2 linked regions of the Arabidopsis thaliana genome follow. The protein of the gene in region 1 interacts with the protein of each later gene in a biochemical or structural test. Each region holds a gene or a part of one and is shown on either strand. Other genes may lie near its edges.

Region 1 (6,474 bases):
TTGTCACTAAAAAACAACGTCAATGGACAGGTAATGCTGGATCATATGCTTCCAATAGTGGATGATAGCTGGAGAGCAAAGTTTGAGCGGGTAAGAGAAGATGGCTTCTCGAGGCTTCAAGGGTTATGGGTACTTAGAGAGATTGTGTTCCCGATCGTCATGAAACTCCTAACGGCTTTATGCGTGCCTTATGTGTTGGCAAGAGGAGTGTTCCCAATGCTCGGATATCCGCTTGTTGTGAACTCAGCGGTCTACAGATTCGCGTGGATAGGTTGTCTTTCAGTGAGCCTCTTCTGCTTCTGTGCAAAAAGATGCCATGTCTGGTTTAGAAACCTTCACAACTCTATCCGTGATGACCGTTATCTCATTGGTCGGAGACTGCATAACTTTGGGGAAGCTGCTTTAGCTAATCAAAACCAAAACCAAAGTAGTGAGGATGCAGGAGATGGTGTCTTGATAGGACGAGAGGGAGATGTTGATAATGGACTTAGGCTCAGACGTGCAATCCAACAAGAAGCTTAGAAAGAAACTGTGCACTGAGGCGTTTAACATTTTGTGTACTTAAGCCGTTAAGAGATGGCTTTGAAAGATTTATTATTAGTCGATGTGTAAATTATTATATCCGTTGATGATTCTCTTTTTTTTGTTTTTGTGTACGAAACTAAAAGATCTTTAGAATAATGCTTCGTTTGTCCATATGCCTTGTGTGTTTCTATGATAATGCTTCTAGAATACCTTCGCTTACTGCAAATTCTTGTCTTTTGTCTCTTATGTTAGTGCATGTAAGCCTTAAGGAATTGGCGTTGAAGATCTATTTGGCCGATGTGTGATTGTAGACATACTCGTTGATACTGTTTTTGGTTTTTTATTTTCCAACAGAATAAAAATAAGAGGAATGTTATAACCCCATTAGATAGATGTCCATATCAGGTTCATCTCAGACCCATATGCTTCAAGGGTTATGGGTACTTAGAGAGATTGTGTTCCCGATTGTGATGAAACTCCTAACGGCTTTATGTGTGCCTTATGTGTTGGCGAGAGGAGTGTTCCCAATGCTCGGATATCCGCTAGTAGTGAACTCAGCGGTCTACAGATTCGCATGGATAGGTTGTCTCTCAGTGAGCCTCTTCTGCTTCTGGTTTAGAAACCTTCACAACTCTATCCGTGATGACCGTTATCTCATTGGTCGGAGACTCCATAACTTTGGGGAAGCTGCTTTGGCAAAACCAAAGTAGTGAGGATGCGGGAGATGGTATCTTGATAGGACTTTAGGGAGATGTTGATAATGGACTTAAGGCTCAGACGTGCAATCCAACAAGAAGCTTAGAAAGAAACTGTGCACTGAGTCGTATTAACTTAGGCTTGGAAATATTTACTAGTCAATGTGTATCCCGTTGATCCTCTTTTGTTTGTGTATAATATCCAAAGGATCTTAAGAAATGAGTAATGACGCTTCGTATATATATATGCCTTGTGTGTTTCTACTTTCTATTGTAATGCTTTTTGAAATGATTGCGTATTGCAAAATCTCATCTCTCATCTTATGTTCTTTCGTGTCACAATTCTACTGGAAGGCCAATCGTGTATTAAGTTGAATTGTTTTGATAAGTCAAATCTTAACATATTGGTTATTTAATTAAGATACTTTTTGCATACCATATAAAATCGTGCGGTAAATATTAATATTAACAACTTTTACTTTAGGAAAATCAAAATTCATCAAGATCCAGTGAGAATATTGCTAATCAGAGTTAAGAAATGTTAAGATAAATCAAAGAAAATATCATCACTGTACAAAATTTTAACAAACTTGGTTACTAATTAGATTCGAAAGTGTCAAACACGCGCGTATCTGTTTGACTTTTCCGAAAGTGACGAGAAGGAAGACGACCTTATCAATTCACCAGCAACTCTAAAATCAATCCTACGATTTACTTCAGACTCGATCCAACGGCTGAGATCAATCTCACACTCCTAGGGTTCTTCTAGGGGAATTAAAGGTTTCTTTTTTTTGTTGGGTTAATAATATAAAAGCAAAGAAAAGGAGAAACCGTAATGCTTCTTTTTCATCTATCGTAATTGTGCTTGTTTCGCCTAGAATCTCTCGGCCCCCAAATATCTCACTCGCCGTCGCAGGCTTCGCCGCCGGCAATTTCTTACCCTATTTCATCTTCCCTCTCCTCTGATATACCCATAAAAACACAAAAAAAACGAAAAGATAAAAACTTTGGCTTTAGTTTTGTTGATTTTGTCATTCGATTCGATTTCTTTTTCTTCTTTCAAATTCTAGGGTTTTCGATTTGGTTTCAGTCTAATAACGAGAGGGGAGGGAAGAGTAACTAAAACCCCAAAAAAAGTCAAAAAAGTTTCGAAAATCCAAAAAAAGATAATGGCGCAGGTTCAACTTCAGGGTCAGACTCCGAATGGTTCGACCGCGGCGGTCACTTCTGCTCCGGCGACGTCAGGTGGAGCAACGGCGACCCAGTTTGGTAACACGTCGCTTTATGTGGGGGATCTCGATTTCAATGTGACGGACTCGCAGCTTTTCGATGCGTTTGGCCAAATGGGTACTGTGGTCACCGTTCGTGTCTGTAGGGATTTGGTCACTCGCCGATCTCTTGGCTATGGATACGTTAACTTCACCAATCCCCAAGACGGTTAGTCTCCTTAATTTTATTTGGACTTCTTCTTACAATTTCCAATTTTTAGGGTTTGCTCGATAGTACCAGTACTGGATTTGAATGAGGTGTGTTTTAAATGTTGATACTTTATGGTGTTTGTATGTATGCAATGTGGTTGGTGCTGTTGGAAAGCTTATCCCCTGCTTAATCAATCTTTTTAATGCTACTTCTGTCTTCTAATGGTACTTTATCTCGTGTCTTTGTTGCAGCTGCAAGAGCGATCCAAGAACTGAATTACATACCTCTTTATGGAAAACCTATTAGGGTTATGTATTCTCATCGTGATCCTAGTGTTCGCCGAAGTGGCGCTGGCAACATTTTTATTAAGGTACGCTTGTCTCTATCCTTCTGACATTTGAGTTGCTGTAAGACGAGATGATTGTTGCGAAAAAATTTGTATCTTGTATTATTCATTGAAAAGTCTGGCAAAAGTAGTTGATTTCTTTAGTTATGTAAGTTTTTTTATTGGGTGTTCTTTCTCTCTTTCTGATGCTAAACCTGGCTATAATATGCAGAATTTGGACGAGTCCATCGACCACAAAGCACTGCATGATACTTTTTCATCGTTTGGAAACATTGTGTCGTGCAAGGTAGCTGTCGATTCTTCAGGCCAGTCAAAAGGCTATGGGTTTGTGCAATACGCCAATGAAGAATCTGCCCAGAAAGCTATAGAGAAACTGAACGGCATGTTGCTCAATGACAAGCAAGTGTATGTGGGTCCTTTCCTGAGGAGACAAGAAAGAGACTCCACTGCTAACAAAACGAAATTCACCAATGTGTATGTGAAGAATCTCGCGGAAAGTACTACCGATGATGACTTGAAGAATGCTTTTGGCGAGTATGGAAAGATAACAAGTGCTGTCGTGATGAAAGATGGAGAAGGGAAGTCCAAGGGCTTTGGGTTTGTCAACTTTGAAAATGCTGATGATGCTGCTAGGGCTGTGGAGTCTCTCAATGGGCACAAATTTGATGATAAGGAGTGGTATGTTGGTAGAGCCCAGAAGAAGTCAGAGAGGGAAACAGAATTAAGGGTCCGTTATGAACAGAATTTGAAGGAAGCTGCAGACAAGTTTCAAAGTTCAAACTTGTATGTTAAGAATTTGGATCCTAGCATTTCAGATGAGAAACTTAAAGAGATCTTTTCTCCTTTTGGTACCGTTACATCTAGCAAGGTTCAATGTCCCTCTCTCTCTCTCTTTATTTGTAGTGAGTTGACTCTCCTAGTTCATTATTTAAGAAGTTCTTTTATTAAATATTACAGGTGATGCGGGATCCTAATGGAACAAGCAAAGGCTCAGGTTTTGTTGCTTTCGCAACTCCCGAAGAAGCAACTGAAGCTGTAAGTCAGTTGTATCGTCTTGTTGATTGTATTTATGAGGACTTTGATTGTTAGTAACAGTGGAATACTGTACAGATGTCACAGTTGAGCGGTAAAATGATCGAAAGCAAGCCACTCTATGTGGCTATTGCACAGCGGAAGGAAGACAGAAGGGTCAGACTACAGGTTTGCTTCTCTTGGAATCACCTCGTCTTGTGATACACTTACTACTCCTACTTTGCCTGTTGGAGTTTCAACTCTAAACAATTGGACCCATCATGTACAAGTCTTAGAATGTCCCACTGCGTATAATTATCAATACTGATGCTGATTCTTCTTTATAATCAAGTGCAACAATATATAAAGCATAAACAACATATGTCCTAGTATTTTTGTATCACAGAAAAATCTCTTTTTTCTCCTGCTGCTGAGTATTTGCATTGATGTGAATAGGCTCAGTTTTCCCAAGTGAGGCCAGTTGCAATGCAGCCGTCTGTTGGTCCCCGCATGCCAGTGTATCCCCCGGGTGGTCCTGGTATTGGACAACAAATGTTCTATGGTCAGGCCCCTCCTGCCATGATTCCTCCCCAGGTAATCTTCATGTTACTCTACTTTAAGTAGCCGTGTACGATTTTACACAAAGATATGCACATGTTTATTTTCTACCTTGGGTATAATGAATTACAAGCTGACAGATGCTTTTAAGTCACATGAAAAGTTTTTAAATTCTTTAGCTCTATAGTTGCTATACTCATACTTGAGCCTTTCCAAATCTATTTTGAAACTGCTGGGATAATATTAACCTGTACTTATGCAATGCCACAGCCTGGGTATGGATACCAACAGCAGCTTGTTCCTGGAATGAGACCTGGTGGGGGTCCTGTACCCAGTTTCTTCATGCCTATGGTTCAGCCACAGCAGCAGCGTCCTGGAGGAGGAAGACGTCCTGGGGGAATCCAACACTCCCAGCAGCAAAATCCCATGATGCAGCAACAGGTTCTTCTCTTTTCCTTATTTAATTGCAATAAAGGCTGCTTTGCTTGCTTGGCTCTCTTTTAATAGTTGATCGTATGGTTTTTCTGTTTGGATGGTGGTTAGATGCATCCAAGGGGTCGGATGTTCCGGTATCCCCAAGGGCGTGGTGGTAGTGGTGATGTGCCTCCATATGATATGGGCAACAACATGCCATTGACTATTGGAGCTTTGGCTTCAAATCTGTCTAATGCTACTCCAGAGCAACAGAGGACGGTGAGAGAATCTCTTAAAAACCAAATAGAGAGACTGGTTTTGCTTGGATTATAATAATGTGACCCTTTGGGTGTGTTTGTACAGATGCTGGGTGAGGTGCTGTACCCGTTGGTGGAGCAGGTTGAGGCAGAGTCTGCAGCCAAAGTGACTGGGATGCTTTTGGAGATGGACCAGACTGAAGTGCTCCATCTGTTGGAGTCACCAGAAGCTCTCAAGGCCAAAGTTGCAGAGGCTATGGATGTTCTCAGGAGTGTCGCTGCTGGTGGTGCAACCGAGCAGCTCGCTTCCTTGAACCTCTCTTAAATTGCTTTTTATCATTTGATCTTTGGCTTTTGTCTCTCCCATACAATTGGAGTTGTTTCTTTGCTATTCGTTTTCTCCCTGGGAATTTGGATTCCTCCACATAACTGCGTTTGTGTTATTTTAAACCTTCGTTTTTAAACCACAAAGGAAAAACCTATCTGCTTTGTTCTTTTGATTTAGTTGCGTGTTCTAGCTTGTTCGATCTAGTGTTCACGGAAGATGAATTTGATTACCAATAAGGCCAATGCTGGTGATCCCCCTCTTTGGCCTTTTGACTGTTGGTGGTTGTTGCTTCTAGTCATTTTTTTTACCAGTTTTTCAAGCTCTATTTTATGGTAAAAAGGTGTCCTGGTAAAAATGGATGAATGGGTCTCATTCTCAGCAGACAATGTTTGAATGAGAAAGAAATACATTTTAAACTTTTTATACACTTTGCTTCTAGATTGATTGGGACTAGTCGAATAGAAATCTTAGTAGAGGTCTAAGGAAACATGATACACATCTTGTTTGGTTGAAATCTTACCATTGTTTTTGGTTTCAGTTATTGATCTGGTTTTTGGACTACTTTTTCTGCAACTATTTGAGAATGAGAAATTACTTACCAAAAAAAAGAAAGTCTTCATCTACGCCAAGGATTTAGAATATTCGTACATGAATTTTGATTTCCAGTACATTGCGTCATGAACTATATAGTCTACTTGTTTTTTTTTGTATCTATTTGACATGCAGCAAAGCCAGCAACACATCTTTTATTGAGTCTGATGATATTTGTGAACTAATTCGAAAATATTTAAAAGATTCGAGTGTATGAAAGGTTTAACTATTATCAAAATCTCTAGATATTTCAACTGATGGCAACACTCAACAATCTCACAATCACGACATAAAAATCCAATAACACTTGAAACCAAAAGAGGGTTCAAA
Region 2 (5,513 bases), on another chromosome or scaffold:
TGACTCTGAAGTATTATATATATGGTGATCATTGCTTAGTTTTTGGCTCTCTGTGTGCTGGTCGTATATATGCTTTACCCTCTAGGTCATTACTGATTCATGAAAGTAATATGGATATATATGTAATGTTCACCGATGTTAAATTTTCTGATTTTCTTAGAGGGGTGCTTTACCCATGTATCCTACTTCATGTGGGTTGATATTTCTGCCCCTCATGTTTGAGTTCCCTCTTGCATCTCAACTCAAACACGCTGATATCATTTTCCACAAAGCAACTGATGAAATCTTGTCCATTGAACTGAACTGCTCCGACTCAAAATCATCTGTTGCAGTTACATTCTCTACCGGCATGGAGAAACTGAAAAAGTAAGCTTCTCAATTCTTTGTTTTCAATCTAGCACTCAGTTATATCTGCAAGTGGCGTATAGATACCATCATACACAAATATGAGAAACCTTGTTAAAAATTCTCCATTCAGGTTTGCATAATGATATAAGGTATTTGCAGGTATATGGAAGATCAAAATGCTTGTGCCATAGTCGACCCTATTCGAAATATATATCCAGTCGTAGACCGACTCAAGATGCAACATATTCTTCTTGGATTAGAGGGCCTTGGTGCAGCAGGACGAAAGATAAGAGGTGCCTGCTTTCTCAAGGTCGTAAAAGTCCTCTCATTTTGATCAACTCGTCAATCTTCTTTATGCTTATAATCTTACATAGTTATCTCTTGAGACCTTTAGTCTGGCCTCTTAACTTCTCCAGTTTCGCATTGATGCTTTTCTTTTTTACTTTAGCAAATTAATATCAGAGTTCCTTATCTGCAGATTGACAGCTATGATGAACCAGATCTGGCTCAGAACTTGTCAAGAGCTGGACTCTCTCTTCCATGTATTGTGAAACCACAGGTTGCCTGTGGTGTTGCTGATGCTCACAGCATGGTGAATATCTCATACTTTCCATCTAGATTTGATATCTCGCAATATCTGTTGCTCTTTTCACAGCAGAACAAAAAAATTCCTCGTTTTCATGTGTTTCTCACAGGCCATTGTCTTCCGAGTCGAGGATTTTAAGAATCTGAACACTCCTGTTCCTGCCATTATCCAAGTAAGTCATAATGTAATATGGATACCCAAATCTAGGGGCACACTCCTAAATCAAGATGTCAAGCATAGAAAAACTTCTCAACCGATGTTTTGCAGGAGTATGTGGACCATTCATCTAGGATTTTTAAGTTTTACGTCTTGGGGGAAACGATCTTTCACGCGGTCAAGAAATCGATCCCTAGTTCTTCTAGTCTGAGGAAATCAGCGGAGGAAAATGGTCTCAAACCAATTCTCTTTGACAGGCAAGATTTCATAACAGTTCCATGAACACATAGCCTTCAGTTACTAAAAAGATTGTAACTTTGGTAGTTCCATTACCTCCACAGCTTAAAATCGTTACCTGTTGATTCCGCAAACCAGAACCCGGTAAGCGAGATTGATCTAGAGCTAGTTACAGAAGCAGCTACCTGGCTAAGAAAGAAGCTTGATCTCACAATCTTCGGCTTTGACGTAGTTGTAAGTATCATCCTCATCACACAAGACCCTTTATATATAACTCATTTACTTACACATTGTCTCTTTATTAATCTCCACAGATTCAAGAAGGAACAGGAGATCACGTGATAGTAGACTTGAACTACTTACCATCCTTTAAAGAAGTTCCGGATAACATCGCAGTTCCTGCATTCTGGGAAGCCATCAGAAACAGATTCGACCAACATGTCCAAGAGAAGCATTGAATCCAACATTGTGGGAAGCGAAACTCTTCTGTCTGTTTATTTTAGGAATGACCTGAAGCTGCTTTATGCTTCATACTCTGAGACTAATAATAATTGAGAAACATCTTTTATGGAATTTTGTAATTTTAAGACCAAACAAGTGAAGTTTTTTTTCTTTTGTCGATAAGAACAAAAGTCACATTCTATAAATATACGACAAGAGACGACCTTTGAGACTCGAGAAGCTCTCTCCAAAAACAAACGAAAAGAAGCGACTTTTGCCTCTTTTGGTCTCTCCCCTTCTCCGGAGAGATCTGCTCTCTCTATCTATCTCTCAATCTGTAAGAAGAAGATTCCCACTTCAGTAAAAGCCCTAACTTTACTTGGGAAAGTTCTTCATCTATCATCCTTCAATCGTCATCATCCATGGCTGATCAACAAACCCTAGATTCCTCTACTCCTCCTCCTACTCAATCCGATGATCTATCTCACTCCCACTCTACTTCCTCTACTACTTCAGCTTCTTCTTCCTCAGATCCATCACTCTTGAGGTCTCTCTCCTTAAGTCGACTCAACGCCGGAGCTCCTGAGTTCGTTCCTGGTCGAACTACTCCTCCGCTGCCTCAACCTCCGAGGATGATTATCCCGCCTCCTCCGCCGCACGGTATGCTTCATATGTATCACCACCAGCCTCCTTTCAATACTCCAGTTCTTGGTCCTGTTCCAATCCAGCCACACTTGGTTCCTGTTCAAAATCACCACCCTCATCATCGCTTTCATCAGCATCATCATCACAATCGTCATCAGAATCAGCAATATGTCCCGGTGAGGAATCACGGAGAGTATCAGCAGCGTGGTGGTGTCGGTGGTGAGCAGGAACCGGATTTGGTTTCAAAGAAGAATGATCGGAGAGATCATAGTAAGAGAGAATCTAAGAACGATCAAGTGACTGAAACTGGAGCTTCTGTTTCTATTGATTCAAAAACTGGTTTGCCTGAAGATTCTATCCAGAAGATTGTGAATCAGGTGATTAGATTCAGACATTGACACTCTTTTAAGACCACATGTGATCTTAAATCTAATCCAGTTTGGTTTCAGGTTGAATACTATTTCAGTGACTTGAACTTGGCTACTACAGATCATCTCATGAGATTCATTTGCAAGGATCCTGAAGGATATGGTAAGATGATGTCTGTTTGCTAAGTCATATGAGTTCGTTTTGCATAAAAGTGTAATAATCTTTTTGTTCCAATTCTTAATTGGTGATTTCAGTGCCTATTCATGTTGTTGCGTCGTTCAAGAAAATTAAAGCTGTCATTAACAATAATTCTCAGCTTGCCGCAGTGCTACAGAACTCAGCTAAGCTTGTGAGTTCTTTATGTTAGTGTGTATTGGTCAATAACTTTTATACGTGAGATTTTATGTTCTAACTTTTGACTGAGTCATCTCACAGTTTGTTAGTGAAGATGGAAAGAAAGTGAGACGCATAAGTCCGATTACTGAGTCGGCTATAGAAGAGCTTCAGGTACTTGACTCATTCCTGCTATTCCTATATTTCTGTATAGTGTATACTGGATAATGCTAATAAATATTATTATATACAGTCTCGCATTATTGTTGCTGAGAATCTCCCTGAGGATCATTGCTACCAAAACCTGATGAAGATTTTTTCAACTGTTGGAAGGTACACAACTGTTTCATCTTGTTCTAAAACCTAGAATCTACTTTTTCTTTCTTTTTATACACTTGAGGTTTTCTAAAATTATGAGTGTTTGTCTTCAGTGTGAAGAACATCCGTACCTGCCAGCCTCAAAATAATGGAAGCGGTGCTCCACCCGCAGCGAGATCAGCAGCTAAAAGCGATGGTACGCTTTTCAGTAACAAGGTAACTAGATGGACCCATGCGGCTTTGTGTTTGCCTCGTAGTTTTGGATTAACTGGATGCAAAATTGATGTCTCTTTTACATGTTCTTATAGGTCCATGCTTTTGTTGAGTATGAGATTGTTGAGCTAGCCGAGAGAGCAGTAATGCCTCACCTACACATATTTTCAGACTCTATATATTTTGATGCCTCTTGTGCTAATGTGGTTAACTGAAGGCATGTTACTGTACAGGTTACCGAGTTAAGTGAAGCGGGAAATTGGAGGAGCGGTCTTAAAGTCCGGTTGATGCTAAAGCATCAGGTATGTGGTTTTAAGTTTGACAAACACACTGTGCCTTTGCCCGTCCTTTCTCACTCTAATAAGCCGAGTCCAGATATCTTAGTAGTTGAGAACATTCTGTGAATTAAAAATGTCATCTGTCTGGGTTAATTAATGTCAGTTCCACTTGGCTTATATGTTATTATTCTATCATACAGACGAAGGAACCAAAACAAGGTCAAGGGCGAGGAAGAAAAGGACATGATGCAGATGTAGAACATGAGGAAGATGATGCTACAACATCCGAGCAGCAGCCGATTGAGAAACAATCTGATGACTGTTCTGGGGAATGGGATACACATATGCAAGAGCAGCCAATAGTAAGTAGACTAAATACGTTATTGGGTCTCTGCTTTGTTATCCATGGATGAATCTAAACTTTGCCACATAACAGGGAGAGGATCAAGGGAATGAGAAAGCGGCTGGGCAGAGAAAAGGGCGTAACAGAGGTAGAGGAAAGGGACGAGGACGAGGGCAACCACACCAGAACCAAAACCAGAACAACAACCACAGCCATAACCAAAACCACAACCACAATGGGCGAGGAAATCATCATCATCATCATCATCATCAAGTGGGAACACAACCTTCGAACAATCCAATGAACAACATGGAGCAACCAGGCATGGGGAAACAGCAACCACCTGGACCACGAATGCCTGATGGGACCAGAGGATTCTCAATGGGACGGGGAAAGCCGGTTATGGTTCAGGCAGAGTGATCCAGAGCTGTTTTGAAAAGGAGGTGATGTGGAATTGTGAATGGTCAAAAAGGGAGATAAATAGAGAGAGAGCAAGAGAGAAAGAGAGAGATTTATCCTTCCCATGGGGATTGGCTAGTTTTGCAGACTTTATATTTGTCTTACTTACTTCGAAATACTTTTCAATTACGCTTCTCTTACAAGGAAACAACAAAAAAACTACATTTTCCTCATATAGTGTACGTGTAATGAAACAGCAATTTCAGTTAATATTTTGTCCTAAAAGCTTTTCTAATGAAATAATGACATTTTTATCTTGTCACTGCTGACAAAAAAGAAGGTATTGTATAAGTAACAGTTAACATATGATCATAATTAATTAAGTTAAATATTTTTAAAAAATCTACTTAAATGGTGTGACCTTGGGTATCCTTATACACTCAGAGCCAATAATAAGACACTGTTTGCTAAATGACCCAATAACAAGACAATAACTCAATAAGCGTAACAAATAATAAGCCCAAATAGTAAAGGCCCATTAGAAAACCTAGAACGCTTCCAGTTTGGGGAGGGGGTAAACCTAAAACCAGTAATAAGCCTTATTTCTGCCAGATTTCTCTCGATCCGCTTCTTCTCGGCGTCACGGCTATGGAGGTACGTGCTTACGGTGTTTCTTAGAGTTTGTTGAGACAATTTTTGTAAACCAATAATAATCCATTTTGAAACGTGTAATACACGCTTCTCTATGTTATTTTTTAATCCTTGTGTTTGTAGAAAACAAAGAATAAAACTCCACCACCACGTCCAGATGATGATGAGCTGAGAAGTATTATGTTGGAGAGACTTT

What was found. The genes of interacting proteins can lie anywhere in the genome.
Region 2: the proteins of PAB2 (region 1) and LARP6b interact in a test that uses a peptide from one of them, tested with the Arabidopsis thaliana proteins (one study listed by BioGRID).

Annotation. Positions count from the first base shown.
Region 1 is NC_003075.7:16,334,343-16,340,816, forward strand, and holds PAB2 (poly(A) binding protein 2), read left to right. Parts: upstream 1-1,948; 5' UTR 1,949-2,389; coding exon 2,390-2,657; intron 2,658-2,890; coding exon 2,891-3,009; intron 3,010-3,196; coding exon 3,197-3,853; intron 3,854-3,942; coding exon 3,943-4,020; intron 4,021-4,095; coding exon 4,096-4,185; intron 4,186-4,452; coding exon 4,453-4,590; intron 4,591-4,824; coding exon 4,825-4,995; intron 4,996-5,097; coding exon 5,098-5,247; intron 5,248-5,331; coding exon 5,332-5,550; 3' UTR 5,551-5,972; downstream 5,973-6,474. Other genes in the region: CER9 (RING/U-box superfamily protein), read left to right, coding at 31-522. UniProt on the Arabidopsis thaliana protein: Binds the poly(A) tail of mRNA. Appears to be an important mediator of the multiple roles of the poly(A) tail in mRNA biogenesis, stability and translation. In the cytoplasm, affects both translation and mRNA decay.
Region 2 is NC_003071.7:18,204,709-18,210,221, reverse strand, and holds LARP6b (RNA-binding protein), read left to right. Parts: upstream 1-2,003; 5' UTR 2,004-2,190; coding exon 2,191-2,790; intron 2,791-2,862; coding exon 2,863-2,944; intron 2,945-3,036; coding exon 3,037-3,131; intron 3,132-3,217; coding exon 3,218-3,289; intron 3,290-3,368; coding exon 3,369-3,448; intron 3,449-3,546; coding exon 3,547-3,649; intron 3,650-3,741; coding exon 3,742-3,789; intron 3,790-3,879; coding exon 3,880-3,948; intron 3,949-4,124; coding exon 4,125-4,286; intron 4,287-4,360; coding exon 4,361-4,687; 3' UTR 4,688-4,987; downstream 4,988-5,513. Other genes in the region: ITPK4 (inositol 1,3,4-trisphosphate 5/6-kinase 4), read left to right, coding at 161-366, 508-658, 827-940, 1,044-1,106, 1,202-1,347, 1,432-1,561, 1,642-1,785; AT2G43960 (SWAP (Suppressor-of-White-APricot)/surp domain-containing protein), read left to right, coding at 5,315-5,320, 5,441-5,513. UniProt on the Arabidopsis thaliana protein: Transcriptional regulator.